Linked DNA regions of Anolis sagrei. The protein of the gene in region 1 interacts with the protein of each later gene in a pairwise test. Links are inferred from orthologs where the notes say so. Each region holds a gene or a part of one and is shown on either strand. Other genes may lie near its edges.

The links.
Region 2: the proteins of RGS20 (region 1) and PTPMT1 interact in binary tests that used the Homo sapiens proteins (3 or more experiments, as listed by UniProt). The two-hybrid records come from large-scale screens. The link is inferred for Anolis sagrei from reciprocal best matches to the Homo sapiens genes RGS20 and PTPMT1.
Region 3: the proteins of RGS20 (region 1) and GLRX3 interact in binary tests that used the Homo sapiens proteins (3 or more experiments, as listed by UniProt). The link is inferred for Anolis sagrei from reciprocal best matches to the Homo sapiens genes RGS20 and GLRX3.
Region 4: the proteins of RGS20 (region 1) and HOXA1 interact in binary tests that used the Homo sapiens proteins (3 or more experiments, as listed by UniProt). The two-hybrid records come from large-scale screens. The link is inferred for Anolis sagrei from reciprocal best matches to the Homo sapiens genes RGS20 and HOXA1.

The regions. Positions count from the first base shown.
Region 1 is NC_090024.1:50,769,517-50,777,551, forward strand, and holds the start of RGS20 (regulator of G-protein signaling 20), read right to left. Parts: upstream 3,063-8,035; 5' UTR 2,609-3,062; coding exon 2,498-2,608; intron 1-2,497. UniProt on the Homo sapiens protein: Inhibits signal transduction by increasing the GTPase activity of G protein alpha subunits thereby driving them into their inactive GDP-bound form.
Region 2 is NC_090021.1:280,294,961-280,302,860, reverse strand, and holds the start of PTPMT1 (phosphatidylglycerophosphatase and protein-tyrosine phosphatase 1), read right to left. Parts: upstream 3,041-7,900; 5' UTR 2,881-3,040; coding exon 2,617-2,880; intron 734-2,616; coding exon 653-733; intron 1-652. UniProt on the Homo sapiens protein: Lipid phosphatase which dephosphorylates phosphatidylglycerophosphate (PGP) to phosphatidylglycerol (PG).
Region 3 is NC_090023.1:193,040,638-193,048,022, reverse strand, and holds the start of GLRX3 (glutaredoxin-3), read left to right. Parts: upstream 1-4,289; 5' UTR 4,290-4,309; coding exon 4,310-4,515; intron 4,516-7,385. UniProt on the Homo sapiens protein: Together with BOLA2, acts as a cytosolic iron-sulfur (Fe-S) cluster assembly factor that facilitates [2Fe-2S] cluster insertion into a subset of cytosolic proteins.
Region 4 is NC_090026.1:91,198,422-91,206,479, reverse strand, and holds HOXA1 (homeobox protein Hox-A1), read right to left. Parts: upstream 3,048-8,058; 5' UTR 2,941-3,047; coding exon 2,262-2,940; intron 996-2,261; coding exon 640-995; 3' UTR 58-639; downstream 1-57. UniProt on the Homo sapiens protein: Sequence-specific transcription factor. Regulates multiple developmental processes including brainstem, inner and outer ear, abducens nerve and cardiovascular development and morphogenesis as well as cognition and behavior.

The DNA.
Region 1 (8,035 bases):
CTGTGTAGGAACCGAGAGACAGCAAAAGAATAGACTTCAGGGCCTGATATTAGGTTTGTGATGTAAAATGAAACAAATAAATAGATTTTGAGCTGAAACAATGTTAGTGAATGCTCAGGTGGCAGGAGGCTGCTTACTGAAAAACAAATATGCTACAGCTATTCTGTGCTGTTTTTCCTTATCTAGTTCTGCAGCAATATAACAAAATCAGCAATGCCAAGTCATACAAAGCTGGGGATTTATTGTTCTCATTTTTGAAATTAGCTTCTTTGAACTGGATCCTATATTTTGAAAAAAAAATATATAAAAGGGCAGGGGGTTGTTGGGTCAATTTTAAGAAAAGTGCTTATGTGTATATGGATGAAAAGCTTGGGGAAGACTACATATAGTTCCCCTTAGAAAACATATACAAATCACTTTGGGGTGCTCTGTACTAGCACTACTACTTCTACTACTCATCAGCAGCAGCATCATAGGTGATCCCTCGTGGCTATGATTGCCTTGCAAATGTAGGGTCTTGGCAGTGGATCTGTAGGTGACTGTAGAGGCATATTCTTGATCTGCATGTTCTTTCACACTGAGAACATTGATTTCCAGATGGAAGGTGGTCCCAACAAGGGTTGGCTTGACATGTTTCTCCCTTTCACCCTTCATTTGTATCTTTTCAAATTCCACAGCACTGTTGGTAACAGCTGCCCTCTAGTTAGAACGCTAAAGGGCCAGGGCTTCCCAGTTCTTGGTGTCTATTCCACAGTTTTAAAGGTAGGTTAGGCTTTAAGCCTATCTTTAAATCTCTTTTCCTGTCCACCAACCTTCCATTTTCCATTCTTGAGACGGTAGTAAAGTTAGTACTCCTACTACTACTACCACTGAAGGTGCATCCATACTATAACATTCCTGCAGTTTGACATCATCTTAACTGCTACAGCTCAATACCATGGAATCATGGGACTTGTAGTTTTACAAGGTCTTTAGTCTTCTCTACCAACGAGTAGTGTTGCACCACCAAACTACACATCCCAGGATTCCATAGCATTGAGCCCTCACAGTTAAAGTGATGTCAAGATACAGGAATTTTATAATGTGGAAGCACCCTACAGCTGCAGACGACTAGAGGCCTGCTAGCATAAATCGTCGGTTTAAATTCCATTCATGAGGCAGGATTTGGTTCGACCTTCAGCCAGGCTGTCACTGTTCAATAGAGTTAGTTCTGATATCATGGACAGCCTATAGTTTGGTTATAACATTCATATTTTTCTGGCTTCCATTGCATCCCATCCTACAACTGAATAAATATTCTTTATAACCTCACTCTTTAATATCATTTGTAACCCATTTGAAAAAAGTGGGGTTTATATCCTCAATAGCCATTAGTCTTAAAAACTGCAGCCACATTCCATTTTTTCCCTTCCTGGCCCTTGTTCCTTTTTATGTAGATGGATCCATCACTTTGCTTTGCCTAGTTTACATTGTACTAGAGCTTCAGTGGGAGAAAAAGAAATTACGTGATTTCTGAGTGGCCAAGTCACCTCTAACTCGGGTGGAGATCAAAATAATAAATTTGGAACCAGAGAAAGGGACAGCAGGTACTGAACATTGATTCTGAAGTACAGCATAGTAGTTTGAGAGTTGGATTATAATTCTGGAGAACAGGCTGGTAGTAAAGTTAGTACTTCTACTAGTTCAAATCATCACTCGGCCATGAAAACTCATTGGGTAACCTTGGGCAAGTTCCACACACTTAGCTTCAGAAAACCTCATTATAGGTTCACCTTAGGACAGCCGTAAGCCAGATATGACTTAAAGGCAAACATCAACAATAAGGATACAGGGTCTGTGTCAGGATCCTTGAGTTGCAGATTAGCTACTTTCTCCCTTCTCTAGTATCGATTATTATTTGCAAAGCAACAACAAAAATACAAGAAATGTGTGGTGCTCTCTCTCCCCGCAAAATAAAAAAATAAGTGCAGCAGACCCCTTTCTCATCACCTGACGATCATATAACAACATGCTAAACCTGTACAATTACATTTATAGTTTGAGCACTGTAGCTTTTCTGAAAGTGTAGAGATCAATATAGTTTTGTGACTGTACAGATCAGGAACTGGATGCAGCAACATCTTAACTATGGCATACATAACAAGAGGACATCCTTGTGATACATATATGGTATTTAGTGCTTGCTCTAATAACTAACTCCATATGCAGACAGAATTTGAGTCAAACTAAGGCCATGAAAAACAAGATGAACAAAACTGAAGTAGCACTACTGAAACTATCTCATAGTGGGCTGAAGTCTCCATTGATCAACTATCTATCTATTTTTGGGCACAGGACCTCAACTACAAGTTATGGTTTTTGCAATAATGTTTCTACTCACTTGTATTACAGTTCACATCTTGGACAATAAAAATGGCATTGTACTCACACTTAACAAATGGATTTTCTATGAGGCAATAATTTTATTTTCATTCTATTTTTAGTATTTTTTTCTTACCTTGAAAAACACCTCAGCTTTCTTAGGAGTATTTTCATTTTCCACACTTGCACTTTGAGTCCTAAAGGAAAATAGCCATTGCCTCCATACTGACAGGTCATAAAAAGGCATGTTTCTGAATCCAGTTCCACAGTCAGCTATCTTTGAAAAATGGCACCAGCCTTAAAGAAATCCACCTTAAACCTGGACACTGAAAGATTAATAATAAGATTATTTTCCCTTTGTAACAAGGGAACAAGGATGCGACTCTCATCTCCAGAAGATTGCTTGATCTTTCTTGCACTGCTTATTCTTGTGATGGCAAGCAGGATGATCTCCATGTAGCAGTTCCTTTTTTTAGTCCACAAAGTATTCGTTCTTTACTCCAGCTTTGTACCTAAATCTTGAGTGCATGTTTGAGATCAAGATTATTACAAAATTTGCTGTTTGACTGTCGAATCTCAGATGAAGCCTCTAGAAAGACATTTAAACTTCAAATAGCTCTTGCAATTAGTGCGGAGTGTCAAGATTCACGGTATAATTAACTGGGGTTTACATATAGCCTGGGACAGACTGGATTAGGCAGAGGATGACACAGTTCAATTTAGACCAGTGGTATTTGTCAGTTGATTGAGCAGATGGTGTTTCACTAATCCTTTGAATCTAAATGAAAATTCCATATTAGCAGAAGAAGCAATCACTTCCACAGATTTCAGGTGGATTACTAGGAACTCTCTGATTTTCTCTTGAATAGCAGAAAAGGCATCTATTTCTTTCAATAAGACCTGATTAACTGGTTGCGTTCAACATTGTATTGCATACATTCATCATTTGTGAGAGCAGAATACAGAATAAAAACTGGAGGTTAAATTGCTATCACCGATTCATTCATTAAGCCCTCTTAATCATATGGCCACTTCGGTCTGTCAGCAATACTTCCATAATTATATTTGTGACAAATTGGTGCCCTTCGGTTTCACTCTGTGCTTTCTTGCTTTAATCCAATTACTGCAAAGAGTCTTTCATAGATTTTGTCTCATGCTGTAAAATCCCTGTTTGCTCAGCTTTTGAGAATGAATTATTACATTTGAGCATTATTATATATTGTATTGTATGAGAGCCAGTGTGCAAAAAGAGAGCCAAACTAAGAAACAGAGTCCAACTAAACGTTACACCACTTGTGCAAATAGTTGGAAACTGGGTGGGTGGGCGGCTTGGGATAATATGTCTTCTGACTGTCCCAGTTTGACAGGGATGGTGGTGATTGACTTTAAAAGTGGATGGCCTTAAAATTGGGCCCCTGGTCTCGTGAATAGAGAATACCACCTTCCTGAACTTATTGAATGGGTATTTCAAACATGAGAAATTCCCCAAAACTACAACTCTCCCACAATTATCTTCCACAGAAGAGATATCAATTAATCAAACAGATAGATGAGTTTTCTCCAGCCTGTCCCCTTGGAGGTGTCCTGAAATATATGTTGTTTCCAGATGAATGTGTTGTTGTCTCAGCACATCTGGAGGGTATCAAATTGGCAGGTGGTTGGGCTGGATGGCCCACGAGGTCTCGTCCAACTCTATGATTCGAAGGCACAACAATGGGTGAGCCTCTTTAATACTACATAGGAGGGACTTACATGTTATAAATATATGCTTTCATATCTCTGTTCCACCAAAGTGTATGTGCTAAAGCTGTCTATGGCAGGACCGTAGCCAGAAAAAAATTTCGGGGAGGGTTGAACATTTGGGGGGGGGGGGAGTTTTGAAAATTTCGGGGGGGGGGGTTAAAAATTTGGGAGGGGGGAGAGTTGAAACCTGCCTCTTAGGTCACGCTGAAGCAAAGAGCACAGCGGGGGGGGGGGGGGGGGGCAGAACAGCCTTCAATAGCCTGCAGCTCCGCCCCTGTCAACCACCTCCACCAAGTCTGGCCTCCTTAGTGAGAGCATTCAACACCCCCCCCCCAACATGGTTGCTTTGCTACATCGGCTATTGCTGCAAGTAATGACAGTGTGAATAAATTGTCAATATTTGCTTGAGATAGTGCTTGCAGGGAGGGACTCTTAATTTTTTGCGTCTCATAGACTTAGCATGGGGATAAACCAATGCCAGAAGGGACAGAAAGTTTCATCTATGCTGATGATCGTGCCATTACTGCTCAAGCAGGGAGCTTTGAGATGGTTGAACACAAGCTCTCCGAAGCTCTAGGTGCTCTAACTGCCTATTACAGGGAAAACCAACTTATCCCTAATCCATCTAAAACACAGACATGTGCCTTCCATGTCAAAAAACAGACAAGCATCCCGAGCTCTGAGGATCACCTGGGAAGGAATCTCACTAGAGCATTGCAGCACACCCAAGTACATGGGTGTCACTCTGGACCGTGCTCTGACCTACAAGAAGCACTGCCTGAACATCAAGCAAAAAGTGGGTGCTAGAAACAACATCATACAAAAGCTGACTGGCACAACCTGGGGATCACAACCAGATATAGTGAAGACATCTGCCCTTGCACTGTGCTACTCTGCTGCTGAGTACGCATGCCCGGTGTGGAACACATCTCACCACACTAAAACAGTAGATGTGGCCCTTAATGAGACATGCCCCATTATCATGGGGTGTCTGCACCCTAAACCACTGGAGAAATTACACTGCTTAGCCGGTATTGCACCACCTGACATCTGCCGGGAAGTAGCAGCCAATAGTGAAAGGACCAAGGCAGAGACATCTCCAGCTCATCCCTTGTTTGGGTGTCAGCCAGCATGTCAACGACTTAAATCTAGAAATAGTTTTCGTAGATCTACAGAGACACTCGCTGGAACACCTCAGCAAGCGAGAGTCCAAACCTGCCAAGCTCAAACCCAGAGCCTCAATCGATGGCTGATACCAAATGAGGGACTCCCCCCTGGGCACACAGAAGACTGGGTGACTTGGAAGGTGCTGAACAGACTGCGCTCTGGCACCACGAGATGCAGAGCCAACCTTCAGAAATGGGGCTACAAAGTGGAATCCACAACATGTGAGTGCGGAGAAGAGCAAACTACAAACCACCTGCTGCAATGCAACCTGAGCCCTGCCACATACACAATGGAGGACCTCCTTGTGGCAACACCAGAGGCACTCCAAGTGGCCAGCTACTGGTTAAAGGACATTTAATCAACTACCAAGCTTGCAAACTCTGTCTTTTGTATGTATGTTTGTTTGTTTGTTTGTTTGTTCTGTAAATAATGTAACACAACTGTTCGGTTCCCTGGCACGATAAATAAATAACGCTAAGGAATTCTGGTAAGTTGTAGTGTGGTGCATGCTGAAGACCTTGCAAAACTACAACTCCCATAATGCTCAGTTTAAAGGGATGTCAAGCTGCAGCAATTCTACAAGTCTAGGGGCACCCTTAGAAAGGCATATATAAAGGGAACGCTCGTGATTCAATATATATATATATATATATATATATATATATATTGAATCACGAGCGTTCCCTCTATATATGCCTTTCTAAGGGTGCCCCTAGACAATAAATATATTGAATCACGAGCGTTCCCTTTAAGAGACAGGCTCTCCTTGGCCGGCTCTGCCTTCTTCGCCTGCTCCTGTCAATCAGGCTGGGAAGGGGCGCAAGGCCGAAGGCGATTGGCTAGCTGGAGGAACGCCCCTCCCCGCGCTGCTTCAGAGAAGAGAGAGAGGGGAAAGGAGAGGCAGAGATGGCAGCAGCAGAGGCGCACCGGGTGCTGGTCTATGGAGGGCGGGGAAGTTAACCAGTTAACCAAATTCATTAGTAAACCTGTTAAAATTAATGAGTAAACCAGATTTTTTTTTAACCTGAAAAACTTCGGGGGGAGGGGGGGGTTGAACCCCTAAACCCCCCCCCCTCGCCACGGGCCTGGTCTATGGCATATATGTATGCACAGAAGAGACCATGCATACATGTAGAGTTTTGAGATCAGAGCCAGTCCTATCATTAGGAAGTGGGAGGCAGTTGTCTGGGACCCCTTCCACACAGCTGAATAAAAATTCCACACTATCTGTTTTGAACTGGCAGTGTGCTCAGATAACCTAGTTCAAAGCAAATATTGTGGGTTTTTCTTTCTCAATATTCTGGGTTATATGGCTGTGTGGAAGGGCCCTCAGGCATCACATTGTGATGCCACAAAAGGACCAGTCTGCTCCCGACCTCTGATGCTCCAAAATAGTGAAAGTTTTTTTAAAGTCTTGGAAAATAAGAGTTGTGGTTTGACAACAAGCTCAATGGTTTGAAACCTCAGTACCTAGAATCCCAAGGCCTCTTTCACACACTGAATAAAATCCAACATTTTCTGGATTGTTGTAGGTTTTTTTGGGCTATATGGTCATGTTCTAGAGGCATTCTCTCCTGGCGTTTCGCTTGCATCTATGGCAAGCATCCTCAAAGGTAGTGAGGTCATTTTCTGCTTGAACTGGAAAGAATATGTGACAGTGTGGATTCAGATAACCCAGTTCAAAGCAGATATTGTGAGATTTTCTGCCTTGATATTCTGGGTTATATGGCTGTGTGGAAGGGCCACAAGAGCTTCTCAACTAATAATTATCTGAATGCTTTCCACTCTAACGGTTACAATAAAATTGAATTAAGAAATAATTAATCTGAATTTGTTAAACTTTTAAATTTTGCCATCTATATACAAGGATTTGAACTTTAGCCGTATTTTTGGTTTCTTTTTTTAATGTCAAGTAAGTTCTGTGAATTACATGGATATATTATGTTATCTTGACCTTTTGCTTATTCTTTGTTTTCAGGGGATTCCATTCTCTTTCTTTTCTAGCAGCTAATACTGAAGAGGAAATGCAATAAAAGCCAGTTAAAAATGGTAAAGGTCAAGTAGTACAAGTATACCATATAACTGCAATTTTCAGAAATATAAACATGTGATCTTTCATTTGCTTTACAAAAAATAAAGGAAAAATTGGGCCTTTGAAGCCACCTAAATGTTATTTTTTTTAAAAAAACTATTGTATTGTATTCCTTAAATGTTATTGATCACTTATTTTTTTGCAACTCTGGCTTTGAATTCTTATTTGTAAAGATAATTCTACAGTGGCTTTGAGTGCATAAAGTGTTCTATGGCTCCTTTTTATCCACTACTATTTATTTCTGCCAAGACCACTGGATTGCGAGACCATACATCACTAAGAAAAATTAAGAACCACCTTTATGCTCTTGCTGCAAGAAAAGAAGTTTGAGGAAACAATTCCAAGATTCTAAGGAAGAAGCTGTTTCATTATTGGATAGTACTGTTGGTGTTCTGTTTATAGGTGGGGAAAGTGGCCTACTACCATGTTAGACTGCAGCTTCCAAAATTCTTTCACTGGCCATGCTGATATGGGGAGTTCCAGTTTAAAAGTAGAAAAAATAGAGATGTGCAAAATTTTGGAGGTAGTTTCGTAAATAAGGAGATTCGTATGATTTGGTAATTACAAATTACAAATCGAAAGAGCACCCTCCGAAACTTTTGGAAAATGCATAAATAATTCATTGGTTCAGAGCATTTTTTACAATGTAACAAAATTTCCTGGGCTGGGAGG
Region 2 (7,900 bases), on another chromosome or scaffold:
ATGGAAAGGGTATTAGTGTATTGGCCAAAATCATGTGGGAACTTGAGTGGTAGTAATGTTACGTATTTAAAACACATGATTTTATTTCCTGGCCTTCAGAAAGAAAGTGAAAGGAAGCTTCTTAAAGTCCATCTCAAGTTCATTGCGGAAGGGGGAAGTGAAGACCAATGAACTTGAGAGGGCTGCACATCTAATGTAGTTTTTCCTTTTCCAAAATGGAAACAAAGCAACAATTGAATTCCTACTGAACACATGAAAGCATGATACTAGACCTTGACTAAGAATTGCAGCTTAAAGCTTTCAGGGCTGATGATTTCCCCTTTTCAGCCTAGAGAGTGCCTTTAGGCTGTAAGAATGACCCTGAGCCATATGCAGCCCTTGGGTCATACCATCCTTGCCGTTAAGATGTAACAGAATAATGTCACAAATTAAGACTTCAAACAAGAAGCATTCTCCCATAGCCTTTGTGGAAACAGATCAGGCTGAATTGTAAGCAATTCTCATTCAAATTTCTATGATCTTGTATTCCTTCCTGTCAAAATAATGTTTATATGTGTGTATACCTGTATGTATATCTATATTTCCATTTCCTTTAGTGGCTGTCATTTTCATCTTCACTTCTCTGGGAACACTGAAATTGGGTGGGACTCACCTGGGGAGAGCAACACAGGAAGCGAGTCTCATACTCTTCATTCATGGTGACCACTCCCCGAACATTTTCTTTGTCTACCAGCTACAAGAAAAAACAAAAACAAATGCATAGCCATATACCCTTTTCAAAAAACATCTATCTAGTTCGGTCTCCTCAAACAGCTGCCAGTAGTTTTCCTTCGATGCCAACTATAAACATCTGTTCAATTTAAATTGGCAGGCAAATGGCACAGAAATAAACTTAGAAATCCATTATTTTAATAGAAATCATAATAAACACTGGTATTCTATAAAAAGCAACATATGGAATGGCACAAATTTAAATTGAATTATAACTACCACTCAAAAGCAATGTGTTGAATGTCTAGATCAGCGTTTCTCAACATGAGGGTCGGGACCCCCGAGGGGGTTGCAAGAAGGTTTCAGAGAGGCCGCCAGACAATCAGAAAACATATTTCTGATGGTCTTAAGAACCCCTTTGGTAGAAAAGGGTGAAGATCTCTCTGCCTGTCCTTTTTCTTTTTGGAAACACCTCCCACCAAAAGCTTTCCTCTACTGTGATTGGCTGGCCTCTCAGACAAGGGGAGGGCTGTTTTTGAGACTCAAGGCAGGAGGGGAGAGCAGGCATGCTTGGCGCATGGCAGCGTGGTGCGCATGTGTGGGCAAGGGAGAGTGTGTGAGACTGCCGTGAGACCCTTCAAAGCATGGGAATGCTGTGAGACCCTTCAAAGCATGGGAATGCTGTGTGGGAAGTTTGTCCTAATTCTATTGTTGGTGGAGTTCAGAACGCTCTTTGATAGTAGGTAAACTATAAATGACTGACAACTGGAAAATAGAGGGAGAAAATGTGGAGGCCGTGACAGACTTTGTATTCCTAGGCGCAAAGATTACTGCAGATGCAGACTGTGGCCAGGAAATCAGAAGACGCTTACTTCTTGGGAGGAGAGCAATGTCCAGTCTCGATAAAATCGTAAAGAGTAGAGACATCAGACTGGCAACAAAGATCCGCCTAGTCAAAGCCATGGTATTCCATGTAGTCACCTACGGTTGTGAGAGCTGGACCTTAGGGAAGGCTGAGCGAAGAAAGATCGATGCTTTTGAGCTGTGGTGTTGGAGGAAAGTTCTGAGAGTGCCTTGGACTGCGAGAAGATCCAACCAGTCCTTCCTCCAGGAAATAAAGCCCGGCTGCTCATTGGAGGGAAGGATACTAGAGACAAAGTTGAAGTACTTTGGCCACATCATGAGGAGACAGCAAAGCCTAGAGAAGACAATTATGCTGGGGAAAGTGGAAGGCAAAAGGAAGAGGGGCCGACCAAGGGCAAGATGGATGGATGGCATCCTTGAAGTGACTGGACTGACCTTGAAGGAGCTGGGGGTGGTGACGGCCGACAGGGAGCTCTGGCGTGGGCTGGTCCATGAGGTCACGAAGAGTCGGAGACGACTGAACGAATGAACAACAACAAACTATAAATTCCAGCAACTATAACTCCCAAATGTCAAGGTCTATTTCCCCCCAAATCCACCAGTATTCACATTTGGGCATAATTGAGTATTTGTGCCAAGTTTGGTCCAAATCCACCATTGTTTTGAGTCCACAGTGCTCTCTAGATATAGGTGAACTACAACTCCAAAACTCGAGGCTGATGTCCACCAAACCCTTCCAGTGTTTTCTCTTAGTCGTGGGAGTTCTGTGTGCCAAGCTTGGTTCAATTCCATCATTGGTGGAGTTCAGAATGCTCTTTGACTGTAGGTTAACTATAAATCTATAAAACTGTCAAGTTGCATCCTGAGAAAAGTTCGGCTTTTCGGCCTGCTGCTCCCACAAGTTTGGGAGAGCGGGTGGGGAAATTGGGGGGCTGCGTTCTCTCTCCCTGGGGAAGGTGGCGTGGGTTCCAGGACCCCGCGGTGTCCCCACCTCCCCCCCGTCGTCGTCGTCGTGGCCTTCTCCTTCGGGGCCCGGTTTACCTGCCGGCAGCGTCCCCTGAGCGGCAGGGCGCCGAGGAGGACGGCGTGGTCGATGCGGCTGAACCAGGGCCTCTGCGAGCCGGGCACGCGCTCCCTGGCCAGCGTGTAGAGCAGCGTCGGGTAGAAGAGGAGCCGGGCGGCGCCGGGGCCCAGCGCGCTCCGGAGCACCATGGCCAGCTCGCCCGCGGCTTCACGCCATCGTCGCAGCGAGAGGGGAAGCGGCGGAGGAGGAGGAGGAGGAGGAGGGCCGCCTGGCGAGCTCATCCCGCGGCCGCCGCCCTCATCCTCGCGGCCCCGCCGAGAACAGCCTCAACCTCCGCGGAGATGGAAGGCGAACCGCCGCGCCTCAGGGGAGAGCCGGGCGCGCCCATTGGTGCGTTGGGAGAGGGGGGCGGCTTCTTTCCCTCCCTCGCGCGCCCAGCACGGACTCTCCCTCTCACCTTCCTGTTTACACGCCCCCCTCCCTCCGCCTTGGAATGGTCTCTCCCGGAAGTGCCGCCATCTTGCGACACCGTCCTGAGGCGGAGGGAGCCGAGCGGGGCGCGGGCGGATCCCCCGGGGCAAGCGAGGGCGGCGGCCGCCAGGAGGAGCCCGGGAAGGGCAGGGAGGGGACGGCACGCAGCCGGCGGTGAGTCTGCGCCCTCCGGCCTCCTCCCGGGCGGCTTCTTTCCCTCCTGGGAGGAATATTATGCTGCTTTTTATTTTGACTGGGCCTCCCTTTCCCTTGCCGGTGTATGTCTGCTTGTATGTATGTATGTATGTTTGTGGGGAGTTTGGTAGGGGAAAGGAATCGCAACCCTCCTCCCACCCCCCGCGTGTCCTTTTGGTTCGGTCCAGCCCAAACGCTAGGCTTTGAAAACAGGCGGGCCCATTAGGGGGAAATGGGGGGAGTCTTGCTTCACAGCCGATTGTCCCATTTCACCCCGCTCCCCCCCCCCGCGTGTCCTTTTGGTTCGGCCCAGCCCAGACGCGAGGCTTTGAAAACGGGCGGGCCCATTAGTGGGAAATGGGGGGAGCCGACTGTCCCAGCAAGTTAGCGGTGTTGGCTGTGAGTAAAGCTTCCCTTCAGCTTGTTTCTCCTGAAATAGCTGCGAGCCAGGCAGGCGGGCGGGGTGAGGGGGGAATCACAGGACTCGGGAGCCGCCGCCATCCCAGGGCGAAGGGGCGGGGCTGGTCTCCTAGAGGCCGCTTTTTGGCCCGACGCAGAGCCTCCCTCCCCGTTACAGAGTCTGCGATTGACCCGCAACAGCGCCCCCCCCCCAACCCCACCCGGGTAAATTAACCCAGGACCACTGGGCCTCTGTGTAAAGGGATTCCCACTAGCGAGGGGTTCGCATGGCGTGGATTCCGGGTCGTTTTATGGACTTGGGGGGGGGGGGGGGGAGGTCCCAGTCCCAGTCCCTAGAAGGTTGGGCACGTGATAGGGTTTAAATGGCGAGCTTCTGACTCTTGCAAGAGACGCCTTCCTTGGTTTATAATGGAAGTCTTTTCCCCCCTCCCTCCCTCCCCTCGCTCTCCTCTGGTAACTTGGCTCCCACAAGTCATGTTTTGAAGCAGCTTGTTGGGAAACACACTGAAATGGGAGACGAGACGGATGAGGAGGCAGAAAGGTGGCGAACAAAGTGGAAGTGGAGGAATTTATTTTTTAAATAAAGATTTCATATGGGTAGAGATTTAGTGTATTTGTTAGATTGCTCAGTAACAGTGTAGTTTAGCCACACATTAATGCTTGAAATGCTCGCCAGAATTTACTCGTTCCTTAGGATACTCCTCTGAAAAAATATTTCACGTTTGCTGTCTCCTTCTGCCCTGTACTGTTTCAGAATGTGCTGGGAAAAATCTTTTCATGTAGGAGTGATTTTATATTGTCTGCAATGTACTTGGGGTGTTTGGGTGTGGTGAGCGTTTCTTTCTCAGATACTTCTACAAGGATCTGTAGTTTTTTCTGTCTTTCCATTCATATGCCAATAACATAGTGTTCGCTAATGCTTTTGTATTTTTATTCTGCTCAGAACATGAAAAAAAAATGAGTATTGAAGTTAGTTTTCCTAGCCTTGTGTCCCACATATAGGGATGATATTCAGTCCTATCTGACATCACCAAAACTAATTAGAAGAACTAACATCTTTTATACATATATATATATAATATATATATAAATTTCTTAAGACGTTGCTTCTATTCCTTATACTGGCTGCTGCTTATTCAGTTGCTTGCTGGGCAGAAAAAAACTAATGCCCACAGAATGGTCTCTGTCTGGTAGGATGATACTGTGGATATAGAACAGTCCTTTGGCAAACTTTGGTCTTCCAGGTGTTTTGGACTTCAGTCCTTAAAATTGTGGGAGTTGAAGTCCAAAACACCTGAACGACCAAAGTTTGCCCATGCCTGATATAGAAGGTGCTGATATAGAATCCTCTTTCAAAAAACAAAACAATTGGAGTGAGAGTGGAATATTCTTTTCACTTCAACTTGACTTTGATCATGATGTAGAGGTAATTACATGATGGAGAAAAATGGAAAAGGTAGAGAAGAGGAGATGAAATGAGTTGAGAGGGAAAGCTGTAAGAGGAACAAACCTAATTCTGCTAAATTCTCAGCCAGAAATGTGCATTTAAGGACATTCCTGCTTATTCCATAATAACTGAAAAGTAAACTTGCAATTTAATAGAGAATGGGATGACATACCAGACTAAAGCACTCCTTGGTGTGGCTGTTAACTGAGCATTCAAAACTGAGGCAGAAGGATTAATTAAAAAGCAACTGTAAGACTGAATTTTCAAGGGAAGTGCAATCCTATGTAGCATAGCTTAAATCACTTCTTCCAGATCAGCTATATACACTGATCATGAGTAAGTTTCGGTTGTCTTGATGGAACTTCATTTTAAAGCACTGTATAAAAACAAAATGTATATATATATATAACTGCACAAAAAAAAACCCTCTTGATGTTATTATCCCACCAAGGTCCCTATGAAGAATACTCCTCAATGTTTTTATTTTAGTTTTTATTTTAAGGTATTTTGTTTTGTGGGTTGCTTTTACTTTTATGTTTTTTTGGGGGGATTGTTTTTTGGGGGTTTTGTTTGTTTGTTTTGCTTTTATGTATTATGAACATATGTAAGCCACCTCGATTGCCTTCAGGGAGATGGTGGCAGAGTATAAGAATAAAAGTATTATTATCAATGTCACTAGTAAGATATACAGTTCCTACATATGCTAATTTACAGCCATGTCTAAAAATATGCCATGACTACAAATATCTTTGAATGCAAATTTCAGAAGTAATATGAATTTTTAGAGATAATGTCCAGAATGTAGTGGGAGATATCCATTGACATAACTGTTTCTGCCTATAGATCAAAAGGGGGAAAGAAATCTCTGCTCCCTGCTGTAGCGCCCCCCTTTCAAAAACTTCTTTCAGAGACTATAATGCTGATTGAGATATTAGAATAATCAAAACATAAATGGCATGTTGAGTCATTCCAAGGCAGCTAGTTAGTCATTGTGTCCAAATGTACTTATTGAAAAGATACGATTTTCCAGCAAAAGATATGGTGCATAATTTCTTACCATGTTACAAATTACATGGAGACAGAACCTGTGTTTGAATTGGCTTGATTGAAATATCCATTTACTCTATTCAGCCATAAACAGTATTTTATTCCCTTGGTTTACAGATGTAAATAATAGATACAGGATTGTGCTTTACATTATTTGTGCATCTAGGAAATATTATTATTAAATGTCAGTGTTTCTCTCCTCCCTTCCCCCCGCAAGGATTTTCTTAGTGGCTATATTAAGGTATGAGATAATATGATTAAATATGTCTGCTTCTGTGCTTATATAAATAAGTGGGTGATGAACACCTTTTATTTACTGAAGAAGAACATATGTATGTGTGCATATTGAGCATAAGTACTAAATACACTACTGATGTATAAGAAAATGAGTGTGTCACATGTTTTTACATATTTTGCTTTGCTTTGAGTGCTTCTGAGCCTTTACACTATATCCAGTATATCATTAGCAGAAAAAGATGAAGGAGGGCATTCCACAAATGCTTGCATGTTTTACTAGCAGCAACTAAAACAGTGGAATGACTAGTACCAGAAATACTTCGTGTATTGGAATCACAGTGAATTGTGGAAGTTCTTATGCAGTAACCTGCATAAATGGAAGCAAAGGTTTCGTTTGTTGTTTCATTTTACAGTTGCGTCTCCCCCCCCCCTCCAATTTGTGTGTGTTAGGGGCCCAGGACTTCTGCAAAAGTGGAAAGCCATGAATATAATAAGTCCCTCCCCAACACATATGCTACCGACTTTTTCCTACAACAGCCCTAGTCCAGCAGTCCCTTCCCATTACAAAGCCTCATCCAAAACAATCCACCTGCTTCATTTCACTCCTACTTCCCCTTCACCTGGTGTTTCATGTCCTGCCAGCAACACCACCCCCTCACTCCATTCTGCATCTTCCCACTACAAAAACTCAAGTACCACTACCAAAGATCTTTTCTCCTCCTGCTGCTAAAATTTAATTTAATCCCCTTTTCCACAGACAGTGGAAGGAGTGAGGTGAGGAGGTTGATTGTTGGGAAATTGATTCAAAATCCTGCAGGAGAAAGAGAGAGAAGAGGAGGTGACTCATTGGGGAAAGAGTTCAACCAGGCAGCAAAAGGAGAGCCTTCATGGAATCACAGAGTTGTAAAAGACCACAAGGACCATCCAGTCCACCCCCACCCCCAATTATGGTCAGATGGTGGGAAATGCTGTGAGGGGCTGGTGTTTTTGGCAGGACTTGGAAGAACAAGTGGAAGAGCAGCAAAATGAGTGGGATAAAGAGATTGAGATTAAGTAGCATTTAAAAATTGCAGCTGGATTTTCAAGTTGCCCATCTATGCACTATGTCGATAACCCTCTATTATTTTTTCAAATAAACATTGCATTTGTGTTTTTGTTGCTTTTTAACTCATATTATTTGCTTGCTGGCTTTTATTGCTGTTGTGTGTGTGCTTTATAATACCTTTAGTGCAACTCTAAATAATGTATTTGATACTTGTGCAAAGATGGGAATAGAATAGAACTCTGAATTATTAGAGTAGCATTACATTTAGTCATTCATCATCAATATAAAATGAAAGTTTGTTTAGATACAATCCTGCTATTAAAATTGTGCAGTTTGGCCTTCATATCCTTGGGGATTGGTCCCAGGACCCTACAGCTATACCATTCTTGGATGCTCAAGTCTCCAAAATAAAAAAGAAACTCTAACACCACCCCAATCC
Region 3 (7,385 bases), on another chromosome or scaffold:
AGCGTGTGTGTGGGTATGTATATACCTATGTCTATGAACTCCCCAACCCAAATTAATACATAATAAACAGTGCTGATATTCCCAATAGTACTACAATTTCCCAGTTCTGGAATACAGTATGTTATGGCAGGGGGAGGTGGGAGGTTTTGAAGTATTCTTTGTAGACATGTGGTTACATTTTTATGTATTTTATTATACAAAATGGAGAGATAAAATTTATGTATAAAATTTAACCTCCTCTTTGCCTTGAATTCATTTAGCTCTATCATGCATTTTCAACAATTTCTTGTCCTCTGTCCATTGTGATGACTTTGACGATCTGTGGGTAAGGAAGAATGGGCTTTTTAAAGCCAGAAACCTTAAAGAAGTAAATCCTATTTTCCTCTTTCAGGCACAAATAGTGGCTCCAGAGGGAGTACAGAGTTCTGTTTAACTGTGTTAATTTTTAATGGGGGAATTTCTCCCATGAACACAATGAAATAAAAACGGTGTTCGTCAGGAACGTTTCTTACCCGATTCAATAATTCCCCTCCTGCAGTTTTCCTCCCATAATGTGGGATCTCCATAAACAATTTGCAACCCTACACTTTTCCAGCTTTTACAGGTGAGATAAATTTCGATGATGCAGTCAAGGACCATCAACCGCAGATACAAATGACTAATCCCTGGAATGCTGATTGGACGACTCATTAGTAAGTCACTCCATAATAAGACGGCAAGTGATGGGCCGTGCGGTCCATAGGATATTGCATACCTCTTAATGTGTTTTCACCTAGGCTTGGATATGGCTTCTTTAATCAGGCAATCAAGTTTCTTTTAACTTGGGGCGCATGTATCTGTACATCTGGAAACTCCAATTTTCATACTCAAAGAGCTGTGCTTGCTGTTGCCCCTTTGCTTTCAGCAGGGCTTGTTCTGGCTTAGCGTTGGGAGGATTATACTGTCTGGGAGGTTTGCCAGATTAATTTGGCCGGCTGCCTGTTGTTCAATCTGGAGCTACTGAAGCCCTCGGTTTCTCAGGGACCCTGCTGCCAGATATTCCATATGGGATGCCCAGAAATATAGCCTAACATTAGGGAGATTTAGTTCTCCCAAGTCTCGGCGGGCCTATACATTTTTAATGACAATTCTTGTTTTTTGCCTACCAAATGAACCTTGAAAAGGTCTTGTGGAGCTTATTAAAGTGAGAGGTTTTAAATTCTCCCAAACAGTTGTAGTTGATATAAGAGACTAGGGAGGATATTTATTTTAGGAAGCAATATTCTTTCCACAACTGCAACAGAGATCCATCCACTTGGCCAGATGATCCTTAATGTTTGGTGGCATCAGGTTTGTGTTCAGTTCTTGAATGGGCTCATTAACGTCTTAAAACCCAAATAAGGATGTGTAATGGCTTAAGTAGCCTGGTCAGAGATGTCCTAAAAACAGTGGAGTGAAATAGCATTACAGCCAGTCCTCCATATTCACTCTGGTTAGGGGTACAGGACCACCACAAAATCAAAAAGCTCCTGGATTAATCGCTGAGCCTGGAACCCCGGGTTTCGGCAGTGGCTAGGGGAGCTTTTGCACAGTTAAAACTTGTGTGCCAGCTGCACACGTACCTTGGGAAGTCTGATCTGGCCATGGTCGTACATGCTCTGGTTACATCCTGAATAAATTACTGCAATGCGCACTATGTGGGGCTGCCTTTGAAGACGGTTCAGAAACTTCAGCTAGTCCAGCGGGCAGAAGCCAGATTACTAACTGGAGTGACATACAGGGAGCATACCACCCCCCTCTTATGTCTGCTCCACTGGCTGCCGGTCCACTTCTAAGCTCAATTCAAAGTGCTGGTTTTGACCTATAAAGCTCTATACTGTTCTGGTCCAGCTTACATGTCCAAACACATCTGCCTCTATGTCCCACCTCTTAATTTAAGATAATCCGGGGAGACCCTACTCTCGCTCCCGCTTACATTGCAAACTGGTTTGGCTGGGACGAGAGATAGAGCCTTCTTGGTGGTGGCTCCCTGCCTGTGGAACGCGCTTCCAAAGGAGATAAGAACGGACTCATCCCTCCTGGCTTTCAGGAAGAAAGTGAAATTGTAGTTGTGGGACCAGGCTTTCGGACAGCAGACTTAATTAGCACTTTGGTTGCAAATTGACTAGAATGACAATACAGCTGATGATATTGTATTATTGTTTTAATTAATGTTTATGTACTGTATTAATTAATTCTTTATATATTTAAATTGTGTTGTATTATTTTAATTGTTTATATGAAGCGGCATCGAACTGTTGCCTAATGTAATCCGTCCTAAGTCCCCCTTCGGGGGTAGAGAAGGGATGGGTTAGAAATAGCGGAAATAAATAATAATAAATAACTGGGCCGGGGCCATTTAGGAAATAAATAATAATAAATAACTAGGCCAAGGCCAGCACTTTGAATTATGCCAATGCATTAAAACTGCAGAGCTTTAGAAGTGTTTTTCAGTTACCCCAAAATGTATATACTCTCCCACAAAACATTTTGTTTTATATCATGCACTCAAGAGACAAAAATGAAATAGACTTTGCTAGAGAATGGAAGAAAGACTCAGTACCACCCGTACAGGAATGGGTGGAAAAAATCAGAGAAATAAAGGACATGGATGAATTGACTTTTTTGTTGAAGAAAAATACAGGTATGATACTAAGAAGAACGAATTGGGATAATCTCCATGAATATCTGGATAATTTGGGAAAATAAGAAACAAGAGAGATAATTTCTTTTTGAACTTATTTTATATTTTTGAATAATAAGAAGATATGATCCAAGAAGATGGAATGGAAGTCAGTTTTTTTCTTTTTTTGTGTATTTTTGTAGATTTTTTTTATTTTTTTCCCTTTTTTATTTTTTTTAGGGGTTGTTTGGGATTTTAGTATATATTTTTTTGTTTCTTCTTTTTTCTCCTTTTTTTCTTTATTTCCTCACTTTCCTATACTTTATTGCTCTCACTCTTTCGTTGTAATCTACATAAAAATTAATAAAATTCTAATTAAAAAAAATGAAATAGACTTTGATAAGCTCCATTGGCTGCCAGTTTGCTACTGGGCTCAATTCAAAATGCTGGCTTTAGCCTAAAAAGCCCTAAACGGTTCCGGCCCAGCTTATCTATCTGAACGCATCTCTTCCTACAAACCCTCCAGGAACTTAAGATAGTCTGAGGAGCCCCTGCTCTCGATCCCTCCTGCCTCGCAAGCACGTCTGGCGGGGACGAGAGACAGGGCCTTCTCTGTGGTGGCCCCTCGGCTGCGGAACTCCCTGCCTTGGGATATTAGATCAGCCTCCTCCCTCCTAACTTTCCAAAAAAGAGGAAAAACTTGGCTCTTCGAGCAAGCATTCGGAACCCCAGAATAAATAGACAAACTAGAGTTGGAAAAGGACCCAGCAACGGCCAAGACAATGTAACGGATGAGGATTTGAACGAGAGGACATAGTTCTTTTTTAAATTGTTATTATGCACTGTCCTTTATGTTTAACTAGCTGTCCCCTGCCACACATTGCTGTGGCCCAGTCTGTTGATCTGGAAAATAAAGTAATGAGGAAGTTTTGGTTTCTAATATATGTAATTTCTTTATGCTTGTGGGTAAACAGTGTTTCTTGCTGTTTCTTTGTCAGTGTTGATGTGTAGAGTGTCTGGTTTGCCACCCTGGAACTCATCTCCATTTCTAAGCCGAAGAGCCAGCGTTGTCCATAGACACCTCCAAGGTCATGTGGCCAGCATGACCACATGGAGCGCCGTTACCTTCCCGCCAGAGCGGTACCTATTGATCTACTCACATTTGCATGTTTTCGAACTGCTAGGTTGGCAGAAGCTAGGGCTGACAGCGGAAGCTCACGCCGCTCCCTGGAATTGGATAGAAATAATGTAAATAAATAAATAAATAAATAAACATATTTGGTTTACTCACAACCTTCATGTGTTCAGCATACACAGGTACAAAACGTATCAGTCCAGGTTCAGATATGTTTGACATGGTGTCCTGTGCAGGACATTTCTCTTATAATAAAACAGTTATAGTCAAAGAGAGAGAGAGCATGTGGTCTGCAGCCCCTTTTGCAACCTCTCAGGAACCATAGAGTAAAGGAAGCTGCATACCGGAACATACATACAGGAAACAGTAAGCAACAGGATCATAGGTAAACATTACTGGCGTTTGGGAATCACTGCTTCCAAGGCAAGGCTTCACTTTACCCCAGTGCGCATGCGCGATCTTTCATCCTCCGTTCTCGAGGGTGAAAGCGAGATTCAAAAAGGGAGGAGGCGGGAGAGGCGAAGCTACGGCGCATGCGTGGCGTGCCGGCGATAGGCTGGGAGCCTGGTAGTGTCCTTAGCGCCTCCCTGCTTCTCTTCTTGGCGGCGGCGCGGAGAGCAACACCAGCCATGGCAGCAGAAGGAGGCGGAGGCGGAGGCGGAGGAGGAAGCAGTGCCGGAGCCCTGGTGGAAGCAACGTCGACGGGCCAGTTCCAGGACCTATTGCAGCAGCCGGGCAGGTAAGTGAGGAAGAAAGTCAGGAGGTGAGCGCTACTGCGCATGCGCACTCTTTCCTCTGTTGGGATAGACTGAGCTTCCTCTCAAGTAAACATGGCGGGGTAAAACGAGGCCTTGGGGGGTAAAGGGAGGGCTGCCCTTCCCTCTTTCACTGTGGACTGAAGACAACCCCACAAAGCTATCCAAGTTGATGGCAGGGATCTGCTGTCATTCGCAATAGGAATTCATTCCAGAGCCCAAGGCATTTTGCTGCCTGAGGCGAGGTTTTGGTTGTTGTAGGTTTTTCGGGCTATATGGCCATGTTCTAGAAGCATTCTCTCCTGACGTTTCGTCTGCATCTATGGCAACCATCCTCAGAGGTTGTCAGACCTCACAACCTCTGAGGATGCTTGCCATAGATGCAGGCGAAAAGTCAGGAGAGAATCTCCTCTCTTGTAGTTTGAAACAATGGCTTCAAACTACAAGAGAGGAGATTCCATCTGAACATGTGGAAGAACTTCCTGACTGTGAGAGCCGTTCAGCAGTGGAACTCTCTGCCCCGGAGTGTGGTGGAGGCTCCTTCTTTGGAAGCTTTTAAACAGAGGCTGGATGGCCATCTGTCAGGGGTGATTTGAATGCAATATTCCTGCTTCTTGGCAGGGGGTTGGACTGGATGGCCCATGAGGTCTCTTCCAACTCTTTGATTCTATGAATGCCTCTAGAACTTTTTAAGCAGAGGGCCAGGTCACAATCATTCAAACTGTTGGAGGGCCAGGTTATAATTTGGGAAAAAAAGAATGAATTACTATGCACACTCCACATATTTTATTTGTAGTGCAAAAAATACTTTAAAACAATACAATAATTAAAATGAAGAATAATGTTAACAAATATAAGCTTATTAGTATTTCAATGGGAAGCGTGATCCTACTTTTGGCTGATGAGATAGGATTGTTGTTGTTGTGTGCTTTCAAGTCATCTCAGACTTAGGTTGACCCTGAGCGAGGGCCGGGTAAATGACCTAAGGCCTTAGTTTGAGGACCCGTGCTCTAGAACATGGCCCTATAGCCCACAAAACCTACACAACCCAGTGATTCCGGTCATGAAAGCCTTCGACAATACACTTTCTCTTTTGTTACATACCAGCATACATCCACATATATTGTAATATGGGTGTTTATATATATATACATATGTTCTAAGGTAAAGGTAAGGTTGTCCCCTGACGTTAAGTCCAGTCGGATCCGACTTTGGGGGTTGGTGCTCATTTCTAAGCCGAAGAGCCGGCATTGTCTGTAGACACCTCCAAGGTGTCCTCCAAGAGCCCCTGGTGGCGCAGTGGGTTAAAGCTCTGTGCCGGCAGGACTGAAGGTCACAGGTCACAGGTTCGAATCCGGGGAGAGGCGGATGAGCTCCCTCTATCAGCTCCAGCTCCTCATGCGGGGACGTGAGAGAAGCCTCCCACAAGGATGATAAAAACATCAAATCATCCGGGTATCCCCTGGGCAATGTCCTTGCAGACGGCCAATTCTCTCACAACAGGAGCGACTTGCAGTTTCTCAGGTCGGTCCTGACACGATTTTAAAAAAAAAAGCCTCCAAGGTCATGTGGCCAGCATGACTGCATGTAACGCTGTTACTGTCCCGCTGGAGCAGTACCTGTTGATCTACTCACACTTGCATGTTTTTGAACTGCTAGGTTGGCAGAAGCTGAGGCTGACAGTGGGAGCTCATGCTGCTCCCTAGATTTGAACCTGCGACCTTTCAGTCAACAAGCTCAGCAGCTCAGCAGTTTAACCCACTGCACTCATATATATTCTATGCACAATAATAATCATAATCATAATCATGTATTAATTTTTATCCTGCTTTTCTCCCATGGGTAGGACTCAAAGTGATGTACAGTTGTTAGGCCCAGCTTCTGCCAGCCTAGCAGTTCAAAAACATGCAAATGTGAGTTAATGAAAAAGTACCGCTTCTGTGGGAAGGTAACAGCGCTCCATGCCGTCATGCTGGCCACATGACCTAGAAGGTGTTTACGGACAACGCCGGCTCTTCGGCTTAGAAATGGAGATGACCATCATGTCCCAGAGTCGGACATGAATAGACTTAATGTCAGGAGAAGCCTCTGTCAGCCTAGCAGTTCAAAAATATGCAAAAGTGAGTTAATAAGTACCGCTTATGCGGGAAGGTAATGACACTCCAGCCAGTCATGCTGGCCACATGACCTTGTAGATGTCTACGGACAATACTGGCTCTTCTTCTTAGAAATGAAGATGAGCACCATCCCCCAGAGTTGGACACGACTAGATTTAATGTCAGGGGAAACCTTTACTTTTACTAAACCAAATAAACACATTGCCCCTACATAAACCATAAATAACAAATTAGTAATAATAATACTTTATTTGTAACCCACCCTGTCTCCCCGAGGGGACTGAGGGCAGTTTCCAACAAGTAGCAAAATGGCAAACATTTAATACCAAAAACAGACAAACGAGATAAAATCAAAGACAGTAGACAAAACAATTTCAGTATAAGCCTATAAACTAAACCAAAAAATAACCTAAATTAAAAACTTTAATAAACATAATCTAGCACATCACACACATTTAACATGATAACATCCCACAGGTTACAAGTTAAACTAAGAAGGCATAGAAAGCATAAGGTAGTTTATGCTTTCTATATATACTATTAAAATTCAATGAACTTCAGTCCACTGGGGTTACCCATAAAAACAGTTGTACTAAACTATTAGGAACTCTGTCTTCATTAGGTTGTATAGCAGCATTACCAAGTCTGAATAACATTCAGAGATGTATATTACCAGTAGTTCTCTGGTCGTTGCCTATTATAAGTAATCAAGAAAGTTCTAGTTCCACAAAAAGGTT
Region 4 (8,058 bases), on another chromosome or scaffold:
TACCTGTCACCCATTGCGCCAGGGGGAGATGAAACCGAATTTAAAAATTGAGGAAGGAAATTTAGTCTAATAATAATAATAATAAAGGGGATTGTGGATACCCATTACCGAACTTATTCAAAGGTAGTAAACCAATCCTAACGAAATCCTACTGAAATCAATGAGGTTCCAGTTAGTCTCTAACTAAGCCTCACCACATTACTTTCCTTGGCTGTTGCAGTTGTTAGTTGTCCTTGTTATGTGCCTTTTTTTCTAGGGCTGAGAGAGTGTGACTCGCCCAAGGTCACCCTGTGGGTTTCCTTGATCCAGCCTTGGTCTCTAAAATCGTGGTGAAAGGCTCACTGCACAACTCTGGCTCTCTTCCTTGGTTTTGGGAAGAGATTAAACGTTGTACCGATTTGTAGGGGGAGGGGGAAGAAAGTCCTCTGAAATCAAGGGGATTGGCTTCCAGAGTGAAGAAGTTCAGGATCTCGCGGGGTTGGTTCCCCCCTCTGACATCTTAGTGCCAGTGGAGACATAAAACTACCCGGAGGGAGGAAATGTATAGTTTTTTTGTTTAAAGCCTTTCTGAACCCAATCTAGAAAAAAAACGACGCAAGGATTGTGCCTTCGAGGATTGGGGAGTGGGTCCCGTTTAGTTCAATGGGAGGTAGCCAGAGTGTCTGAGGTAGAGGAGGCCGGGGAGGGGGTGCACGGGGATGGGCTGGACTTCTCCGAAGACTCCTCCGCTTTGTCCTCACTTCCGGTCGGGGTGGCCGGCGAAATGGGCAGCAAGCCCTCTTTCTCCCGCTTCTTCTGCTTCATCCTGCGGTTCTGGAACCAGATCTTGACCTGGGTCTCGTTGAGTTGCAAAGAGGCCGCGATCTCCACCCTCCGGGCCCGGGTCAGGTATTTGTTGAAGTGGAACTCTTTCTCCAGTTCCGTCAACTGCTTGGTGGTGAAGTTGGTTCGGACCGTGTTGGGCTGACCCACGTAGCCGTACTCGCCCGCTTTCCCTGGAGAAAAAGAAAAAAAGACAACAAGAACAATAAGGCAACCGCAATCCGCAAAGGGGAGGGTGAACACCACAAGGCGCAAGGTTTCTTTTTCTTTTCTGTGTCAGGGGCGACTTGAGAAACTGCAAGTCGCTACTGGTGTGAGAGAACTGGCCGTCTGCGAGGACGTTGCCCAGGGGATGCCCGGATGTTTTGATGTTTTACCATCCTTCTGGGAGGCTTCTCTTTTGTCCTCACATGGGGAGCTGGAGCTGACAGAGGGAGCTCATCCGCGCTTTCCCCAGATTCGAATTTGAGACCTGTCAGTCTTCAGTCCTGCCAGCAAAGGGGAGGGTGGACACCACAAGATGCAAGGTTTCTTTTTCTTTTTTGTGTCAGGAGCGACTTGAGAAACTGCAAGTCGCTTCTGGTGTGAGAGAATTGGCTGTCTACAAGGACGTTGCCTAGGGGACACCAGGATGTTTGATGTTTTACCATCCTCATGGGAGGCTTCTCTCATGTCCCCGCATGAAGAGCTGGAGCTGACAGAGGGAGCTCAGCCCTCTCCCCAGATTCGAACCCATTGTGCCACCCATTGCACTACCCCGGGCTCCTCAAAGCTCTAGGTGACAGGTATTAAGAGACAAGGCCTTTATACCTGTCACCTTGAAAGAAACTTTCTGGGCCAGTTCTGACTTTGTTTGCTCAAAGACTCCCCACTTATACTGAGACTAACTTCTTGAGATGATAGGACACCAGAGAATTGGTTGCTGTTAGGACCCCAAAGGGAATGACTTGAGAAACAGCACGTTGCTTCTGGTGTGAAAAAAAATTGGCCGTCTGCAAGGACGTTAGCCAGGAAACTCCCGGATGTTTAATGTTTTACCACCCTCGTGGAAGGAATAAATAAACACCTATGGACCTCAAAGTTGAGTATTTCAATTCGAAGCCCCAAGAGCAGTTGATGGGAGGATAAATCCCCTTTCCAAAATAGTTGTCTTTCAATTAGAACCCCAAATCAGAACATGTCCCCCTTGCAAGCTAATCGCCCAGCTTCAGGAACCCAACTCTAATTCTTCTTCAGTCTATTTGGGTCTGGTCTGGTGGCTAGTGGTCTATTTCGAAATAATGAAAGAAAGAGCAGAAGAAAGTTTGGCACTTCCAACTTTTCCAGCCCGACTTTTTAAATCGTGTGAGAGAATGGGCCGTCTGCAGAGGATATTTTACCATCCTATGGGATCCTTCTCTCATGTCTTTCCAGCCCGACTAATGGGGACGGTGACTCACCTGTTTTGGGTGGGTTCCTCTTCACTTTCATCCAGTCGAAAGTCTGGGCCGGAGGAGAGGTCTCGGAAGCTGAGGGGGAGCCGCAGGGTTCCTGGTGGCTGGACTGGAGAGGGGACAAGGGGTGTCCATAGCTGGTCAAGGGCAGTCCCTGCTGCTCTTCTCCATAGGGGGGCTGGAGGTAGGGGGCCGAGCCCACCGCGGCCCCCGCGTAGCCCTGCGCCGGGTGGGGCACCACCGAGGGCGAGGAGGAGACGTTCCCGGAGTAGAGGCCGGGCGCGCACTGGGGGTACCCGGCGTTCACCTCTGCCTCGGGGCTCAGCGGGTAGTGGGGCCCGTAGCCCCCGGCGCCGAAGCCCTGTGCCCCGTAGCCCGGGTGCGGGTAGGACATGCCCAGGCCGGGGTGAGGCTGGTAGGCGGGGCCCGGCTGGTGGTGGGCATGGGGGCTGAGCGGCACCCCTCGGGACACCAGGAAGCGCTCGTCCCCGTTGCAGCCGTTGGCACTGACCGCGCAGGACGGGAAGGTGGTGCTAGCGGTGGCCCCATGCTCGGGGTGGTGGTGGCGGTGGTGGTGGTGGGGATGATGGTGGTGGTGGTAGGCGCGGGGGGAGCAAGTGGCGGGCTCTCCTCCGTTGAGGATGGGCGGGTAATCGAGGAAGGAACTCATCCTCGCCGCGTCCATCTAGTCCATCTATCACCGGCTGCTGGGAGTCCCGGGTGCCCGTGCCAACTTCCCCACTTCCTCCATGGGGGCCCCGGAGAAAAATGATATGAATGTACAGTCGGGAGGCGGCCACGTGAGGGCGGCAGCCAATAGCGGCGCCTCCTGCCAGCGTGGCCCGGTCCCTTCCTGTTTGATGGATCGCCCTGGCGGTGGCATTTAAATTCCGAGCGCTGCTCCGTCAAGGTGACGCGCAGCCAACACCTCCCTCGCTCCCCCCTCCTCCTCTTCCTCCTCCTCCTCCTCCTCCTCGCCCATCCTCAGTCAATGCCTTGGGCTGCTTGGAGAGCCAGCCCAGGCGCCCTGCCTGAGAGACCATCCTCGCCCGCCCGCCGCGGGAGGGACAGAGCGGGGAGAGCCCGGCCAAGCAGGTAAGCCCAGGAAGCCAGGCGTGGGGGCGGTAGAGGGCCAGCCTCGCCTCCTTCTCTCTCTTCCCAGACAGCACCAGATCTGGTTCTAGCACCAAGACCTAAGGAAGGAGATGGAGGAGAAGGACCCAGCAGTGGGTGCGTGAATGGGTCAATAGGAGAAAGAAAGGGGTCCGTGGGGGATGGATGTGATCTCCGGCGGGGCACCAACCAAACCCCGGGCGCCTCCGCAGAGCAAGAGTTAAAACGGGGCTGGTAGGTCCAGCCTCCTCGAGGGAAGGATGATTTGCATGGGAATGAAGCAAGCAACGCCATTGTGCCTTTGCGGGCGGAGGGCTGGATGTTTGGGGGGGGGGGCTCTGCGAGACAGTGGGGTGGGTTTGGAGTCAAGGTTTCTCCATTCCCCCCATCTCTCCGCCTTTGAAGCGATCCGTCTCCGCTTGGCTGCTGGAGGAAGTGCTTACAAAGGGTTGCCAAGGCAGCTGGTTCCCCGGCCCGCGTTTGCAGAGCCCTCAGTGCGCCTGTGCAAACTCTGCCTTTCTCTGCTCCTCCCTGCCTTTTTCTCCTTCTCTCTTCCTTCCTCTCCTCCCTCTTCCCTCCTTCCTTCTGCCTCTCTCAGGAACTGCCTCTGCCTGGCTCTACGTCCTTTCCTGCCCTCTCATATGCACTGTTTGGAAACTAAAAGGGTATTGTATTGTCTAAGGCTTTCATGGCCAGAATCACTGGGTTGTTGTGTGTTTCCCGGGCTGTGTAGCCACGTTCCAGAAGCATTCTCTCCTGACGTTTCGCCTGCATCTGTGGCAGGCATCCTAAAAGGTTGTGAGGACTGTTTAAAGCACATGTATTTTCCTCTCGTTGGGATAGGGGACATAGCAAATTGCAGCCTTGCAGTCTACCCATTGCAAACCAATGGCTAATGATACAGAGAACGAGAAGCTGTGTTGTTGTGTGTTTTCAGGGCTGTATGGCCGCGTTCCGGAAGCATTCTCTCCTGACGTTTTGCCTGCATCTATAGCAGGCATCCTCAGGCCTCACAACCTCTGAGGATGCCTGCCATAGATGGAGGCAAAACGTCAGAAGAGAATGCTTCTAGAACGTGGCTATGCAGTCCGGAAAACACACAACAACCCATTAAAAGGGTATTTGTGACTGAAAACACCAACACTGGATGACAGACTTAGAAATTAGGGGGAGGAGACTTAACAATGGAAGGGGGGGGGGCTTCCTTTGGTCACTTGAGAACTGTTTCCCTTCGGTGGGGCTTCGTGGACGCCAGGCACTGAAATCAAAGGTTCCCTAGATTTGGGGATTGTGTTATTCAATGCTGGGACGTTGGAAGCAGCCTCAGTAGTTCCCCTGGTAATTGTTTCCCAGCTCTGTCTTTTCCCAGTGTGAAAGTCCCCCATTTCACTCACTGAAATCAAAGGAGGAAGCATGTAAGGGGGGAGGGGGCTTTAGGGGCTTCAGCCCCCCCCCCCCCCCGAAATTCTCAGGGTGGTCTGCGAGAAGGCCTTACTGGTACATTATTTAAACTGTTATGTTTATTCATATCTGATCACCATGCTCAATATATCCCATATGCATGGGGGTATTGGGATAATGATACAAAAGGTTTGCTAGGGTAGATCCTCAACTCCCCCAGCCCCCATCAAACTCAGCCCCCCCCCCCAATCAAACTGAGCCCCACTCCACCCACCCCCGCATCAAAATCCTGGCTACGGACCTGAAAGGAGTCTAAAGAAAGGTGGCTTTCTATGGGTTAGGAACTTGCTGAAAGGGAAAACAGGGTCCTATTGGGTTGCTGTGAGTTTCCCCGGCTCATTGACATGTTCCAGAAACATGAGAGATAGCCATACAGCCCGGAAAACTCACAGCAACCCAGAGATTCTGGCAACAAAAGCCTTCAACAACACAGGGACCTACTGTTTACACATAAAAAGATGGAAAAAAGATATGGCCTATCGAAGCATGCGGAGGGGGAGCTTAGCATTCAAGTTAAATCTGAAATCTGAAAAGCAAGGTGAGCCTAAAGGACATAACATGGGGGCGAGGGATAAGGTTCCTGGTGGTTTGACTGGAGAGGAGACAAGGGATACAGTGAGGAGTAAGCTCTGCTTCTTGGAGAACTTTGCCTGGAGAGAGAGGCGAAAATTGCAAGGTTTAGTTTAGCAAAGGCTCTTATTTTGCATAGTGTATTCCTAGGGCAAAGTTGAAATGAACCCGAAGAGCAAGTTGACATTGTTGTATGGAGGGTTGTTTGCTGGGATGTTCCATCCATTGGAGCATGCGTGTACGTGCCGGTCTGCGCGTAAAGGCATCTGCGCATGCGCATTCGGCCACTCAGTAGTTCTCCAAGCTACCAATCCAGATTGGGGCTGTTTCCTGAAGTGGTTTCAGGTTTGGATCCCTATCAATCAAAATCAAGATTCAGTCAAGTATATATAATTCAGACCAGGGCCAACTTGGGCCCTCCAGGTGTTTTGGACTTCAACTCCCACCATTCCTAACAGCCTCAGGCCCCTTCCTTTCCCCCCTCAGCCGCTTAAGCGAAGGGGCCTGAGGCTATTAGGAATGGTTAGGAATGGTGGGAATGGTGGGAGTTGAAGTCCAAAACACCTGGAGGGCCCAAGTTGGTCTAGGCCTGATATATAGGATCTGGGCACAAGCATTCTCCTGGATGTTTACAGGAAGTAAGTCTCCCTTATTTATTTGGTAGAGCTAAACTCCAGTTTGTAGCAGATGGGATTTTAAGGGGGAAAATACTCAATTTTGGCTGAAAGCCCCTGCCTGCACCCAGTGCTCAGATTTTGCTCTCAGACAGAAAAAAAACAGCAAGAAAGCACGGATTCTCCATGGCTCTGTTGACTGAAGGAGGAGCTTGACAGAGTGCCCCATTTCTCAATGGTCTCCTTGGTTCCCCTGGTCCCTGCCTCCTCGCCATGTCATTGGTAGAAACATCCAGAGCACTGGGAAAGAATAAGCACAACTTTTCATGCAGTTCAGAAGCTGGATTTGGAGTGAAATGTTGTTTCATGCTAGGCCAGGAAGAGAAAATTAACACATGGGCTAAAATCAATCGCGTTTGATGTTTTGTTTGGAGATTTTGGGCCAAAGGGGACGTTAAGAAAAAAAGGGGAAAGGCTAGACATCGCATTTCACCCACCTTAACACTCTGGAATCTGAATTTTTGTTATTAGTTCTGGCTAAAGCAATAGAAAATGAGCTCCCACTGTCAGCCCCAGCTTCTGCCAACCTAGCAGTTCGAAAACATGCAAATGTGAGTAGATCAATAGGTACAGCTCTGGCAGGAAGGTAAGGGCGCTCCATGCAGTCATGCAGGCCACATGACCTTGGAGGTGTCTACGGACAACGCCGGCTCTTCGGCTTAGAAATGGAGATGAGCACCAACCCCCAGAGTCGGACACGACTGGACTTAATGTCAGGGGAAAACCTTTACCTTTCTCTTAAAGCAGATTTACCAGTGTGTTGCCTCACATTCATGAATGGGCCTGCTCTTACTGCAGCTTCTTTCCATCTTCCTCTATAATTATATATCATCTCCTTCTTTGCCTCCCGACCTAGTTTCTTTCGTTATCTATCTATTCAGGCCATCTTTTCCCCTCCAAACCTTCTCTTCCCCCCTCTCCAGGCCTGCCATCGCCAGCCCCTCCACCACTTTCCCTCGTTTCTCCGCCATTGTTCCGAAGACATCTTTCCCTTTTGTTAGACTGTCTGTGGCCCAGCGCTTTGCATTCCGAGGCCTACACAATCCTCTCCGCTCACCACAATGCAAGGAGGGGGGACACATCGAGATGTAGAGGCGGGGGGGGGGGGGTAGATAGAGCAGGAGAGAAGAGAAAGGGTTGGGGGGGGGAGCTGAGGCTGGTGCCTCTGGAGATGGCGGAGCAAGCAAAGTTTTGCTCCCAACTGGAAGCTCCAGATAGACCTGCAACACGTCCCCACATCCTCCTTTGTTGCCTTGTTGTTCTGGACGCATTTTCATGCACCTAACAATAGACTTTGCCTTCCTATCTCCGAATTGAGGAGGGGGTGTATTGGGATTTTTTTTAATTGGGAGGGGGGAGAGATCAATATAAGTTGAGGTACTTGGAATAGCGAGAGGAAATCTATTTCAAGCATAAGCCATGTCTCGAGTAATTCTTTTGTTCTTTCAACCCTCCCAAACGAAGAGAAAGACTGCCTTGTCTGTGTAAAATAAAACACACAGCCCCCATCTGTGCTGCGAAGGGAATCCCATAAAGCTGTGTCTATACTGTCAAATAATGCAGTTTGAGCTGCATTATATGCTCAGTGTAGACTCCAATAATGTAATTTGAATTGCATTATATGGGTCTATACTAAACTGGCCATATAATGCAGTTTGAACTGTGTTATATGTTCAGTGTATAATGTAGTTTGAGCTGCATTATATTTGTCTACACTATACTGGCCATAAAATGCAGTTTGAACCGCATTATATGGTCAGTGTACACTCGAATAATATAGTTTGAACCGCATTATATGGTCAGTGTACACTCGAATAATATAGTTTGAACTGCATTATATGGGTCTATACAATACTGGCCATATCATGCCGTTTGAGCTGTATTATATGGTCAGTGTAGACTCGTATAATGTAGTTTGAGCTGCATTATATGGGTCTATACTATATTTTCCATATAATGCAGTTTTAACTACATGATACGAGTCT